2 linked regions of the Lepisosteus oculatus genome follow. The protein of the gene in region 1 interacts with the protein of each later gene in a pairwise test. Links are inferred from orthologs where the notes say so. Each region holds a gene or a part of one and is shown on either strand. Other genes may lie near its edges.

Region 1 (7,829 bases):
GAAAACACACACAAACACGGGAAAACATACAAACTCCACACAGACAGCACCCCAGGGCTGAAATTCATCCCAGGACCCTAGTGCTGCAAGGTAGCAATGCGCTAACTACTGTGCTCCTCTGCTACCACGTCAGCAGAACTCCTCTAAATAAAATTAGTAATGACTGAATTGATTTGACTCAGGTAGTTTGGTGGGAATTAAATTAGGATTGTGAAAGATAAGAATTTAAAGGAGCCGTATCATCTGGAGAAAACCGGAGTTCTGTCAAAAGCCACATCAGAAGATACTTATCATGATCACGGCATTTAATTGAGCAGCCGCAAGACTGTTCTCTCCGCGCCCAGCCTAGAGTGACACTGATCTGTCTGCTAGAGGGCTTTATCGCACTCGCTGGCAAATTACCACCCGCCTGCGGGATTCCAAATTCATCAGCATCGGACTTCTAAATTTAACACGCTTCTGTGTTAAATCAGAGCGGCACCTCACCCAGGCTCAGAATACGAACCCTGAAACGGTTCCCCTCACCGTGCAGATATAGAGGACTCCCCAGTATTGTCCCACTTCGGCCTTCGGCTGTAGTAGCGCAAACATTTGTTTTATTGAAATCATGAAGATCTTGTTGGTGGCTGAGGTGCACGTTTTCAGGGCTGTGCGTCAGCTGTACGATGCTGTTACAGAAAGCCGCCTTGTAAAGTCTGTGCTGAACCTGCCCACTAGAGGACGCTAAGGGACACTATGGACCAGAACCACAGTGACTACAGCTCAGGTTCCACACGTTGGGTTGCGTCTAAGCCTCTTCCCGATCATCAACACAGAAACAGAAAAGTATAGGAGGATCCATAAAGGCAGTTTTTAAATTTCACTAGCTCCCTCTCAACTGTTATGATCTTAATGGGAGCTGTGTAAAGTATTTTTGACATTATTAAATTATAGCATAGAAAACCTATTTACTGTATATGTGTAGCTCAATATAACGATTTGTACATCAAAACAGCCCAATGAACTGACTTTTGATGTCCTTTATTTCATCTCGATACTGAATATTTTAGGGCCTTCTGTGAAAATGGGTAATGTAAACTAAGACATGTTATTACTATAAGTTTTATTCCTACTTTTCATTCTTAAGTCATGCCTGCCTAAGTAGTAATAAAAGGAACTCTGAGATGATAAACTGAATTATTTATTTTTATAATAATTTGGAGCATGCACAAAATACTCATAACTATTAGTAGAGTATTAGTAGTATACTCATAACTACCTTAAAGCGCTTTGAGTGGAGTGTCCAGAAAAGCGCTATATAAGTGTAAGCAATTATTATTATTAGTGTAGAATGACCTGCTTATTCTCCATTTCAAAACACATTCCTGCACAACTTAATATGGTTTGAAAAGACATTGTAGCAATCTCAGGTTTGTGCAGAAAAAAAGAACCAGACAAGACTCTAGTTTGACACACAAGCACCTTTTATTAAACCTCCATCAACCTGCTATGCACAACAGAGACAAACTTGATCTCAGGGTTGTCACATATACCAGGGAGGTAAACGGGACACGTACACAGATTCAGGGTGGTTACACATTGAAGGACAACAGACAATAACACAGGTAAACACTAAACTGCTGTTTATACAAATGTGGGATTATTTACATTGCTCATTGCTCTCATGCACCATCCCCTGGCTATAACTCCCAGCCTGCCCTGCGGCACATGCACTACCTGGGTGATCCTCCTCCTCATCACCTGACGAGGGTGCTACACTGCCCTGACCTGCAGCATGCGGTGTCCTACCAATGTCGAACAAACCCCGTAGGCTATATTCGCACTCCACAAGCTGCTGGGGAACCCTGTGTGACCGCCCACTGTGATGTGGTGATGGCTGGCGACCCGTCACCGCTGGGCAGTTCTGGCCCTGGGCACCTCTGCCCTAGCCTGATAGGGTGCCACGCAGTCCCAGTGCAGGACCACCACCCTCCCCCACTTTCACAACCAGACCTGGTAGGAGACCTCACCCACCAACCCCGGACCTGGCTGGGCCCCTCCCATGATGACACCATCTTAGGGCTGAGGCCTTTTCTGCGGCACTGTTTATAGACCCCAACCAGGTCCCCAGGCCCGTAGGCAGGCCCCCTGCAGTGCAGGTCGTAGTACTATATATTATATTGAGCTACACATATATGCTTCTACTAGACTCCCGCCTGTCGGGTGGGTCCGGGCAAAGCTGTGTACCTGACGCATTTGCTGCCGGTGGTCCTACTCATTGTCTGGTCTGGCCGGCGGTACCGGCTCGTCCCCAGGTGGAGAACCGAAGGCCAGGTCCACCAGGGTACAGTGTCTGGAGGTTTGGCAGGGCCTGGTCGAAGCTCGCAGCAGGGACAATCGTCCAGGTAGACAATGCACTGGCTCCTCGGGATCGACGCCAGCATCTGCTCCATCAGCCGCTTGAAGGTCGCCGGGGCGTTGCACAGACCGCACGGCATGACAGTGAACTGCCAGAGGCCTCGGCTGATGGAAAAGGCCGTCTTCAGGCGAGCGTCGGGAGCGAGCGATACCTGCGAGCAGCCGTAGTGGAGGTCGAGGGAGTTAAACCAGGTCGACCCGGTGATGTAGTCCAGGGCGTCTATCCTCAGCAGGGGATAGGAGTGCTTCCGGGTGACCCCATTCAGCTATCGGTAATTGACACAGAACCTCCATGAGCCGCCCTTCTTCTGGACCAACATGACCGGGGCAGACCACGGGCTTGCGGAGGGCTCGATCACCCCTGCTGCGGCCACCTCCCTGATCTTCTCCTTGGCCGCGCTCTGCTTGGCGTGAGCCATGCGTTCTGGCGGGATGCAGATGGGCCGAGCGGTGCATGGCCAGATGGGTGTGGGCACTTCGGCTCAGCAAAAACCCTATGGTATTTCTATAGGGGGCTCTGTCACCAGGACGTTGAGCAGAAGAGTCCCCATGAGCACTCTTGAGTCCCTCTCCTGCAATATCAAATGAGGAAGGAGCTGCACAGCAACTATGGCGCAACTTTGAGTCCCAGGTTTTCGCCAGGGTGTGCCAGAGCCTGGGGATCAACAATAGGTGGACCACTCTGCAGCATCCCCGGAGCGATGGGTTAGTGGAGCGCTTTAACCAACTGCTCTCCACCAATCTGGCCACCCTGGTCTCCCAGCACCAGCAGGACTGTGACTACCACCTCCCCCTCACACTGTGAGCATACCAGACTGCGGTCCGGGAGTCTACAGGGTGCACTCCAGCTTCCCTGACGCTGGGGAAGGAAATGGCCTGGACCTGGCTCTCTGTTTTCTACCCAGACTATGAGTGGGATCTGCAGCAGCAAAGGCATTAAACACACAGCTTTGCTGGGACCCACCTGGCACAGGCAGGAGCAAAAACAGCACTATGAGCCGTACTACAGGGGGTCTACCTACCGGCCTGAGAATCTGGTTTAAATCTACCACCCATTCTACCACAACTCACACTCAGTGATGACACATACACTAGGGTGATAAATGGAACACAAAGGCAGTGTCAGAGTGGTTACACATTAAGGGACAATAACAGAGAATAATACAGGCAAACACTAAACTGCAGTTTACACAATGCGATTGGGATTATTTACATGAGCAGAATGACCTAGTGGTCACTCTCACGCACCATCCCCAGGCCCCTGGTGCCATAACTCCCAGCCTGCCCGGCGGCGCATGCACGACCCGGGTGCACCCCGCCGCATCACCCGAGGAGGAGGTGTTATGTATGTTACGTATTTTTAAAATAATTTTCGTGTGCATTTTTTCTAAAATTATTCCTCATATAGCATTGAAACGGTACAAATTTAAAACAGATGCTCAATGTTTCAGACTTTGAAGGAATGTGCGAGTTTGGGACAGAAGGATTACAGTTATGTATCAGTTGAAAATGGCCCAAAGCACAGATTTATCCCACAAGTGAGTAAATTTCGACTCTGGGGAAACTTCAGCTGTAACATTCTCAGAGATCTGCAACCAGAGAGTCCATTTCAGGGGGTCAGCCAGACAACCAGTGGGGGTCAAGAGAGAACTTTTCATCCCAAGCAGCGCCTGAGATTCACCATCTCACAGGGGCGTCAAGTCATGCTCGATACTGCAGTCGGCAGGATTGTTTACAGGAAGTACACACTTCAATTGTAATAGGATTAAACCACATCCTTATTCAGAGTAATGTCTTTAAAAGCCGTCTTCCATCAAGAAATGGCTGCAAACCCTTGGATTTCATATTTCACTACGCACCCTGATTTGTTACATTACAGTACAGGCGTTTTGACTAGAGACTCCCCCGCTCCAAATGATATTGCTACTTTCTGGAACCACGATATACAGTACAGTACACCGCCACTTATGACGGAGCGAGGGGCTGCGTGTGAGATACACCGATCTCACACACAGCATCGCTCACGCTTTAGACCGGAGGGAGTAACTCACGCGCAGCACCTCTCTCTCTCCCGGGCCCGGGCGCGCAGATCTCGCGAGAGGCGGTTGCCTTGGCTGCAGCGCTGGGTGAAGCTGGCGGGTGAGGGCTGCGCGGCGGTGATTATTGCACCCGAGTCCTTTCGGGCAGCGGGGGGTCGGCAGTGCGCGGGGGCTCCAGCGCGAGTGCGAGGTGAGTACGGAGGCTCTTCTTAGCCCGCTTAACTACGACGAAACGAACCAGAGAGCTGGGGGAGGCTCTGTTTTGGCTAGACTTACGAATGTCATGCTAGGACGAACATCAGCACAGTGGGATAAACTGTGGGACAAGTGCACGGGAGACAGACTGAGAATGACATTAGCGCCTGATGCCTGTGCCACTGGCGTCTGAAGATGCTGTGTGAGCGAGTGAGCGCTACGCAGTAAGTATCAGCGAGTTAAAGCTATCAACGATTGCCCGCTTCCATCTGTGGGTAACCCACATGCAGCGCCAGTCCCGATAGACGGCTATCTAGTTTAGCTTGGCTTTAAAGATTAAGCCAAACATCGGAATAATAGGTGTCAAATGTGTAATTAAGCGATTTTTTCTTACAGGTTAATTTAGAAATTAAATAATATGCATCATTGCGAGACTTAATGCGTGCTCTCAGGACTAGTCTTATTTCTATATATTTACCCAGAGAATGTGTGTTTCGCTGCAGTTAGGAATAGGGATTTTTTGATTGCATGGACAGTTGTCGGCCTGTGGAGTATCCTGGGTCTTGCTGGGGGTTTATGGCGTAGTCCTTTGCTGTAGTTGATGAAACTGCGCACCGCATGGCTGTCCTGCGTCCCGTGCCCCGCCGCGCGCTGCGTGTTTCGCCGTGACACGACTGTATCTCCGTAGGATCGGGGTGATCGGGGGTGCTGACCAGCAGTGACGCCGCTGAACGGACAGTGGCTCGACTCCTCCTGTGTTTGTAATAGCTGGGATGTAAACACTCATTTGTGCTGATGGGCTGACGTCAGCGGTCCACCCCTTCACTTCATAAATTAAACTTTGTCTTCGGACGTACGTTCCTTAAACAACCATAAATGTGCGTTCATCCTGAGGGAAATCGATAACGGTTTCTGATACACGGTTATTCCCGGTAATGAGCAAGAACTGCCTTTTGCTGTGTTTCGGCCTGACACTGCTCCTGACTGTAAGGATGATACTGGCCCAGTACTGTACTTGAGCTGCTGACGTATTTAAGAACTGTTCTGCTCTGCTAGTACTCTATAAAGCTAATTCCCTTGACCGTATTATTGCAATGCTTTTGTTTTACGACACGCGGGATTGGATTTCGTCTTTTACAGAGTTTTCAAAACTTTCCGGATTGATAAAACAGCCACATCTGCAAACAAATACACTACTGACTTTTTAAGCTTCGTGGATCCGCTTTCTCTGCCCTCATATAAAAAAATACGATTAGGCAAAATAAAGTCAGTCTCGTTAGTAGCTTTGTAATCTTTGTTAAAACAGATCGCCCAGTGTCCGCTTGCCTGTGGCTGCGGGCTGGAGCCTCAGAAACGACGAGTCAAGAACGTGCGGTGTCACGAGGTTTGCTATGGCAACTGTGGGACTAACGGCGGTGCCTCGTAGGCTGCAGGAGAGTGACGGGTCGTTTTACCTTTTTAAATTACTGCGACCTGCTTGGTTGGCTGTTGTACTAAATAAACAAGCGAAACAATTCCCGAGTAGTTTCCAAAATAATTCCTTTGTTTTGTTTACTGTGTTTCTTTTAATCGAGTTCGTGCGGTTAAATGCTGATTTGAGTCAGCCATGAGTTATACATACTGTAGTTAACCGTTGTACGAGATGCTGCGGCACTTTGCTGTTTAATTGTTTTACAATATTTCTGGTGTGTGCCTTTTATTGTGTGGCGATTGTGTATAATTTGTTTCGCTGATATGGAGCTCAAAAGTAATGCATTTAAAATGAGAGTAGGACTAGGATGTCATAATGAAGACTGAATAATTGCCTCTGCATATACAGCTTTTCATTTTAAGGATCCCAAAGTGCTTTACGTTTAGAAAGGGACCCTAATTATTCCCCAGCTTCAGTGCAGCCCGACCTGGGTGACACACAGCAGCCCCACTACACAGCAGATCAGGGAGAGAGAGAGACTGGGGAATGGGAGCCTGCTTTACCATCTGAATTAAGGGGCATCTTTAGAGAGGCTGGATTGTATAACTCCAGGGTGGATTATAGCCAGCACACTGAGATTAACACCCCAACTCTTATGAACAAAGTGCTCTTGTAAACATTCACCATGGCAAAAGTGGTTGATAATTTGTAGGTCATACTATGTTTTTCTCAATATGGTATTTGTTTCTCTTGTGTTAGTGTCCTTTTCCCCTGTGCTGTTTTGCACATTGCTGTGCTTTAACCAGGGGACATGCCGTAACTGTTGATAACGGTATCTCCTCCTGACCTGGCCTACTGTATCAGTGCGGCAGAGCCACAAAACAGGCCTTGTCTTCATATTCACAGGGATTCCTGCTTGGAGGAGAGCAGGGTGTCAGCATGTGAGATAGGAACCGTGAGCCTGGCAATTTGGAAACCTTCCTCTGGACTTTATTGTTTGGTACAAGCTGCACTTGTTACATAATGTGATTCTGAAGCTGCAGTTAAGCCCCTTTACTACTGTATGTCAGTTATAGATTTTTCTAACATGGATGGAAGGCTGATTGCCCAGCCTGCTCTGTGAAATAGATGTGACTGAGCTTGAGCAAACGCCTGTCCTGCTGGACAACTGGGGCCCTTGTGCACTATGTCAGACAACGTCACACTCTCCTTGGTATTGTGCCGCAGTCTCCAGATTCAGCGGTCGTTGTGCCTCTGTGTCATGGCGGCTGTCCCCTCCCACTGCCCACTGTGCTTTCCTTCAGCCTGTGACTGCGGCCATTCTGGTAAAGTACTGGGCGGGTCCGAGGCAGAGCCTGTGCATGAGTGCCTTTCCTCTCTCGTTGTCGAGCTGCAGCACGGAGCAGGGTGCTGGGCGCAGGGCGCAGGAGTGGGGGGGGCGACGCCAGGTGAGCAGCCAGATTGTTCTGTACAAGGCTGGGCTGAGTAAATTGCCATGTTGCTAGGCACCTCAGCTCAGGCTCTAGCCTGGCGCTGTTAGAGAGAGGCTGGCCAGGAGGGGAGGGCAGCGAGGGGGCGAGCTCTCTGTGAAGAAAACATCTGTCCGTGGGACATGACTCCACGAGCCTGCTGAGCACTGATTGTGGGGTAAATGTGTTTCCAAAGTTCTCTGTCAATGGTGATTGGACAATAAGCCCCCTGGATTATGGACGAGAGCTCTTGTCTGCAGGTGTGTCAGCTTCAGTGGAGGTTGTCATTCTCATTCCAGATGTTTGCTTGTCTCCTCC
Region 2 (8,103 bases), on another chromosome or scaffold:
TGAATATTGCAAAAAACTAGTTGTTTGTCTTGGGTTAAAAACATTTATTGCAGGAAACAGTATTAGAGAATAATGAAATACAGAAGGTAGAGGGATAGACAAAAGAGAACCTTTAGAGAATGGGGCAGAGAAAGAGGAGGGGGCAGACCGGTGGGGGATGGACTTTTGACCCTGGACTGTCCATGACTGTCCAGATGATGTTCAGAGGGAGCAAACCGGCCTACAGTGAAGGACTCCCAGTCCCTGTGCTATACTGTCACATTGTTCTAAAATTGTTTTTAAAAACAGCTTGAGTTGATCTGACAAAAAGGAAGTTCTACCACAAATTTTATCTGCTGACAGGAAAGTTTCAGAAGGTCGTCTTGTAGTCAAATTCGGTCACTAAGCTTATCTCTACCTCTATGAGGGTTTGAAACTAGAGCTCTCTCACTGTTAATATATCTGTTTTTACATACGGTGAGACATTTACTTTCTTTATTTGAATTTGTTTATAAAATTGAAGGTTTCTTGCCCAGACATTGCTAAATGAGTCCTTTAGCAATGTCAGTTATCAAAAGTAGGGGGTTTACAAATACAGCAGTAATGATATAGCAAATGTCGAGAAAAATCCTAAAGCTGCATTATATTTAGAATTATGCCAGAGATGTGGTTAATCAAACAATATAGAACAAGGGGAGAGGTGCAAGATGGAAATCCTTGACTGAACTGCGTTTCCCAAAGGTCTATGAAGAATGATCATCACCCCTGTTCAGGTGGGGGGGAAACGACTGGTACAAAGTCTGCGGTTGGGATCCTGCTGTCCTGTATCTCACTGAGGTTTCACAGGTCTCCTGGACATTGCTACTCTTGGCCACATCTGAACAGGGATACAGCTAATGAGAATAAAACAAAAGAAGACTTGTTTTAATCGTGTTAATGGAGACCAGGCGAATTTAGGTAGGTCAGTTCCAGAGCTGATGTTTCCTGGTCTGAAAGTGTGAGCTCACAGGCCATCAGGACATTCACGCTTGGAGTCAGAACGCAGTGCCATGATCTGGACAGTGGAAATACATGAAGATGGCAGAATGTGTTAAGGTAACTGGGCAGAAGACGTGCAGCCATCATTCTTTGTCTCTCACTGGAAAGGTGATCCTGAAGTGCAATTTCTTGTCTCTTTAGAAAGAGATCATACGGTCCTTTTAAGAGCCTTCTGACATACACAATTGCTCTGTAAACCTTCACAGTCATGCTGTATGCAGCAAAAAAACATCCAGCTGGAGGACCTTTAGCAATCAGCTGTTATCTAAGATAAGTCCATTAAGCAAACCAATCAGACGGCTTTTAATAGAGCGCTATTATTATATTGTCAAAAGGTGTACAACAAGGTCTTGGCAAGCGCTTTCTGCTGGTGTGGAAATGGGAACTGTGTTTGAGCTGTTACTGTGAACAGTTTTATATGTTAAAAAAATCCTTTAGAACTGTCTACCTGATTGAGAAACAGATGCTGCTGAGAGCTCCTCAATCTGAAAGAGGCAACATTTTAAAGTAAGTTCTGGCTGGAATATTCTGTGACTGACTTATATTATACAAGTGAAATCAAAATGTCTTCTGCTATTGGATTCACTTTCTCTAACGTCCTCCTGGAGGAGATTACAATGTCTGTATTAAAACAGACCAAGGACTTGAAAAAAAAAACCTCTATTTGATTTTGTTGCTGAAACCGGTACCGATAAATCTGTTCTGGAAGGTGTGGGACTACAAGCAGAACATCTAGGCAGAGGACTTCCCCTCTAAACAGAGGAAAGTGAAGAACCGTGCAGAGGCTATCCCACAGAGCTGCCTCCACTGCCCCTGGCCCCTGCTGTCCTGCAGTCTGGCTTCGAGCCCTGGTGACTCAGTGTGGCTGCAGAACTGAACACCCCCCTCTCCTTCACTATTAATTCTCCTCCATACTGAGTCTGCTAAACATCACACCTACCTGTGCCTCAAACAGATAAGTAAGGGATAAATGAGATGCACATACCAACAACAGTGAGCAAGATGATCTGTCGTTATCTCTTTTCTTACAACGTTTATGCAGATTTTGTTCTTCAAATTTAACGGTTCCAGAGAGAGGCTTAAGTAAATTAGCCTATTATTTTCTTCCTTCCTCTGAAACAGGTAGATATCTTTCATCAATTGGCACAGCAATTACTCATGAGATAAATAAATATTCCAATTGTGCCCTTCTTCATTTTACATATATTAATGTTCTAAAAGGAAAATGTTATGTCAGGTGTATGTACACTTTATTACATAGAAATGCAGTATGCAGTAGAATGCATTGACATACACATGAAGGCACAGCAAAATAAAAAAAAACAGCATTAGTATTTTTACACGCATAACATTGTAAAAAGGAGATAGTAAATATTGAGCATCAAAAGAAATGTGTTGCATTTATCATTTGTAAATGCAAGAAATACATAACAGTTATTGGGAAAAGTACTATCTTTTGCAGTAGCTCACTGATAGCGAGAAGTGACTTAGTTCTTCAATAAATCAAAGTTGCTCAAGTGTATCATAGTAGGTCATGTGTGGTCTTACGAATTATACCAAAAGTATTTAATCCATATATCCAAAATCGACATACTTTATTTAATGCAACCAGATTGATAGGTTTCTCTTGATTTTCTGCATATGCCATAGAGAGGCAGTTTATTCACAGATCAATTTAAACAGTTAATTATAAGTTAATTTAGAGTTCTTTCACTTGTTCATTTACAATAATTCTAGTGGGTAATGTCTTGTTCAAAAGGAGACCTAAATTAACATTGTTTCCCTAGGATATAATCCATATTTTAAAACTGCTTTAAAACACAAAAAGGAAATCATATTCTAAACTTTTCTAAACAGGAAATACTGATAACACTACAGAGCTTTTCTGTTGACAACATCTGTCTTCATTCTTCATCTTTGACTGGGTTAAACCATGACTATAAAAACAAAGAGCAAAGGCAAAGGGACTACAAAAAAAGCCAGAGAAACAACCCTGACCACTGCTAAACAAATCTGATAGTCCTTGATTCTCAAACAACGTCAGTGCAGAGAACCACCTGCGAATATAGCCTCACAATGAAGGGCATAATAAGCCTGGTGTTTGTATAGCTTTCACAGACTGTACAGTGTGTGCTGATCATATAATGCCACAGTTTGGAAGAAAAATCAAATAGACAAGAACCATGCTTACAATCTCTACAGATAAAGACAAATGTGGAATTTAGTAAGTGGCAGGATAATTACTGTGAGACTAAAGATTGACAACAGACACAAGGACAGAGTGAGAGAGGAACAGCACTATATACAATGCTGTCCCTCTTTCATAGTATCATGAGGCACCACATTACCTAACTGAACCAGACATACATACAGTATAATATTTCTGTCCACACTTGAGATTCTTCACCTTGCATTCGCCTGGGTGATTGAATATTAAATTAATGCATTCTTAACATCCATCATCATCGAGTTCAGGATCAATCATTGTGCTGTAAATAAGTGGCTGCCACGTGGCATAATAACATTATTTTGATGTAATGAATAGGAAACATTTTTTTTCATGTTATAGGAAAATAGGAAACAGTTTTTTTTTCGACTAGGGAAGAGGAAAAACATTTAGGTTGCAAGGACTGCTTGTTGATAGGGAAGATAGCTGGTCCCGTAGCTACCAGATACTTCGAGAAACGTGCACATCTTTCATGTTAATCCGCTTCAGTATACAGGCAAAGTAAAAAAACCCATTGTGTCTCAAAGAGGCTGGCAACTGGTAATTACTGTATTTAGGTCAGGGAAAGCCAGGCTGGTCACTGATTCTGATATATGAAACCAAGTAGTTCGCATTCGTCTAAATATAAATCATTTCAGTTACGAGCAGTTGGGGGGGATGCTTTGAGGATCTCAAACTTGGAGTTACCCATCCACGATTTAGGTCACCCGGTAAATTTAAAAATGTGTTGCGGTTACTAATGGAATATATTAGTCGGATCAGAGAGCCGTCGTCACGTAAGGAATTAGTACAGCCCTACTGTTGAAACTTTTTAAAATAGTTTTCACATAAAGAGAACAGTTATTTTGTGATTACCGTCACCGGTGCTGCAGAAGTAGCAGCACTACTTAAAAAATAAATACAATTTTACAAAGATTGTACAACGGCTCCCTCTTGCGGTACAAATGTGAAGTGATTGTCTAGCCAAAAGAAGATTCAATATCACATTTACTTCCTTGGATGAGTGTCATTGTCTCACAGGACGGTTACAAAATGAAATATTGAATGCCACTGCAACTAAAGAGATCCTGAGGATCTCGCAAAACTCTATGCATATGAGACACATAGCAGAAAAACCTGGAAGAATATGGAAACGCAGCAAATTGCTGATTAATTTCCATTACAACCATAATATAGAAATGATGTGTGGCAATGTCATGTTTCAGGAAAAAAAAACATTTTACTACGACAAACCTCTGACTGTTAGACCTCCAATCCGTAGGGGGAACTGGAGAACATCCTCGTCGAAATCTTCGTCTCGTTTCCCAATGCACTTTGTGCTTTAGCAGTGAGATCATTCAGGAAGCTGGAGTTTCGAGCGTGACGTCATCCCCAAGCGCCGCTGTGGTTTCGCCTGCTGGGTTGCATTGAGATGGGCAGAACTTGTCAACTCTGATTCGACCAGCATTTAAATTGAATTAACTGACAAACAGACAAAAACCAAGAGCTGGATGACCAGAATGAGATGTCGAGGTAAGAGCTGAGCCAAACTCTTTGACTAGAAATCTGTAGAAAAGAAGTCAAAGATTGTGAGCGAGAAAGACAAACAGAACTAAAAAACTACCGTGGATTGTTTTGCTCGGCCTTTCTATGTGATCGCCACCGCACTGTTTTAAGAAGTTTTTCATGGTACATGTTGTTCGGGCTAAGAAAATAATGTAAGCATTAAAAAAAATAACAGTTCCTTGACATATCAGTGTGCGGGAAAAATGAACGCTGTCAATTGTAACAGCGAGAACCAAGTCAACATTATTGTTGCGGTTTAGCGACCATGTTAACTAATTTTAAATTGTATTTTTTAATAATGAAAAGTGTATCTGCTTTTATCGTTGTTATTAGTAATAGACTAGGTACAATAACAGTAAAAACAGTTGTAGTGGTGGAACAGATGCATTGTCAAATTGATGAGTGTGTAATAGGGATGTCTGTGTGACTTCACTCAGGCTAGTTCATCGGGATTTGCACAAGTCTGTCTTTACCGGTAGTACTAGTGGTAGTAAAATGTGCGGTGAAGAGTCCGCCCTCTCCTTTATGCGTCTCGTTTCTGACCCTCATGCTATTCGTCATCGCCCGAGTCTCTGTCTGGGGAAGAACGATTCACAACATTTTTCTGTTAGTCATCAGAATCGGCAGCGAGCTCTCTGTCTTAGCGGTTTACGTGGGTGTAATCAGATTTCTAGTGAACAGTGAATATCACTTCATTCACTACTGTCAAAATCTCAGTGCGGCAGTGGGAAGATATGACTGGAAATCACTGATGAGCCCAAAACAAACGTATGGAAAAGCAGCTCGTGGCGAGCTTCTTGCTTCTGTGAATGTGCAAGAAATGTGACATAACTGAGTGAGTTTTAAGTCATTTTAGGTGCCAAGTAACTTTTTAAATAGTATTTGTCAGCGTGTCATGTTTGTAATTCTTTTGTGCAGTTAAAGCACAAAAGACTGCACAAAAAAAGTTTTTTGCACTAAGAAGTCCCTTACTGTTTAACGTCTGCACTACGTCATTTGTTAAAATCGGGATTTATAGATTATTTTTTTCAAATGGAATTGTAGGAAAGGTAAAATCCGTTAATTAATAATAAAATGTGCTCTGTGTCTACTCCTGACAACTTTTATAGGCTAACTGTTTAATGTATATAATAGTGGGAACACAAATTCAACATTTTAGTTCCTGTTTATCCCATAGGGTGAGAAAGTCACCTGGTGACATATAATAATTAAAGACAAACACCTCAAGAGCATGCTGGAATTTTTATCCTTGTATATACTGTATATACTGTCACTCCTTCCAGAAACAGTAGAAACAATATGCATTTCACATCGCTTAATATTCTGAAGTGATCCTTGAACATTTCTACAGTCAGCAGAAATGAATGTTATTGACCCACATACTGTACCTTGTAAATAGCTTTTTGAATATGGGTCTGTTTTAATGGCTGTGACAAATGGAGGAGAAATGGTACACAGGGACAATTCTGAAGTCTGAAAAGGACCAGTAAGTGAATTTAGAAAAACAATCAAAAAGGTTGTGAACTTGAATTATTTTGTGAGGGTTCGTCTTTTCTCTGCGCAATCTTACAGTCTGTCTGTTTGTGCGTACTGGTTTTCCACAAGGATGTATACTTTCCCCATTACTCTTTCTTGTACACCAATGGCAATACCTCAAGTGACTCTTCCATCAAACTAATCAAGCAGCGGAAGACACCATCCTTGTAGGTCTATTCACAAATGAATATCATAATATGATATTGGTATCATAGAGTAGTAACAAGCACACAAAGCTTAATACCTTCCATACAGTGAAAATGCTGGTTGCTTACTGGAAACATTCTCCAAAACCTCAGTCCCTAGTAATCAATGATGTGGCTATGGGTGTGATAGAGTTCTTTAGTTTTGGGGTATAATGATGTCTAATAACCTTACATGGGACACAGATATCTCCAGTATCACAAAGAAAGCACAGCAGCAAATGTACTTTTTGCCCAAACTGAAAAATTGGGGTCTCTCAGCCAATTGTAATACAGGTTTACAGAGCCATTATTGAGAGCATTCTGACTGCCTCTGTAGCTGTTTGGTTTGGCAATGCGTCTGTCCACTCATGAGGGGAACTGCAGACACACTGCGGCCTTTGGCTGTCAGATGCTCTCTACTGGAGATTCTAGAGCAAGAAAGCAGGCAGGAAAGACTGCTGATGACCCCACCCAGGTTAACCCCTGTTTCAGAAACGTCCCTCAGGAAGACACTACTAGTCTATTAAAACAAGAAACACCTGGTATTTGAACAGATTCTTTCATGGGGCTGCCTTTCTGGTTCACCAAAATTCCTAGTTGTGTGTGCTTTTAGTCATGTCTGTTGTCTTGTTTGTGTATGGCATACAGTATGTAGCATGTTTTTGATGCATCAAGAACACCAGAGGAAATTCCTTGTAAACTAAATATACTTGGCGAATAAAAGTGATTCTGATTCAGATGTGTATTCGTGGCCACAATCACTGCTCCATTGTATGTTACTATTTCTGTATATGTTCTATATTTTCTGTTCATTTTTTTTGAACAACTGATGTGATGTACTAAGGTTTGTTTCAAAAAGATTGAATTACCTGTTGATGTTGATTTAAAACTAAAAGCTTTTTTAAAAGCAAAGGTTGCTCCTTATGTCTGCATCATCCTGTCTAATCGTGGCTGTAGCCACTCTCCTCCAGCATCTTTCAGAGGAAACATCTAGGATAATAAGTAGGTATTATTACTTGACAACGTATTGCACACATTTGTCAAAGTCAGAGAGATTTGCACTGAATGAAATCATGATCATTTTCTGACTGTGGAGTCCTGAAAGGTCATTAGTTTGACTAATGTTCTTTCCATTACAATCTTAACCAGCCTTCCTGTAGGCCTTAAGAGTAGTATAGACTGTGAAGTGTCTTACAATCCTCTCTGTTGATTTTAATCTTATTTCTGTACTTTGGCGTGATAATTTCATAGTCCTACTTTATACTGAATAGGAAAGTAACAGAAGAGGCTATTCGGTTCATTGGCTTCTGATTTGCTGACGGATACGTACTACGTCTTAGTTTCCTTCAATCACTGTGTCCCTGTTTCCTGAGGCAGTATCTCAGCTTCCTGTCGAAACTTTTGAATTATTTTTAAATGTGATACGTGAAACATTTGGTGACAATCGGTGAGAAAATCTGTATTCTACTAACAGTCAATTTAAAGTTCTGAAGATGTGATTATCTGAAGAAGAATGGATGACGCATCATGAGACAAGAAAATATTTTTAAAAAGTGGTCCTGACATTTGAGTTGTTGTTTTTTTTTACCTTTG

Evidence for each region.
Region 2: the proteins of usp54a (region 1) and atxn1l interact in binary tests that used the Homo sapiens proteins (3 or more experiments, as listed by UniProt). The link is inferred for Lepisosteus oculatus from reciprocal best matches to the Homo sapiens genes USP54 and ATXN1L.

Annotation. Positions count from the first base shown.
Region 1 is NC_090699.1:45,968,427-45,976,255, forward strand, and holds the start of usp54a (inactive ubiquitin carboxyl-terminal hydrolase 54a), read left to right. Parts: upstream 1-4,303; 5' UTR 4,304-4,626; intron 4,627-4,634; exon of another isoform or gene 4,635-4,855; intron 4,856-7,829.
Region 2 is NC_090715.1:9,892,033-9,900,135, forward strand, and holds the start of atxn1l (ataxin-1-like), read left to right. Parts: upstream 1-4,609; 5' UTR 4,610-4,756; intron 4,757-8,103. UniProt on the Homo sapiens protein: Chromatin-binding factor that repress Notch signaling in the absence of Notch intracellular domain by acting as a CBF1 corepressor. Binds to the HEY promoter and might assist, along with NCOR2, RBPJ-mediated repression.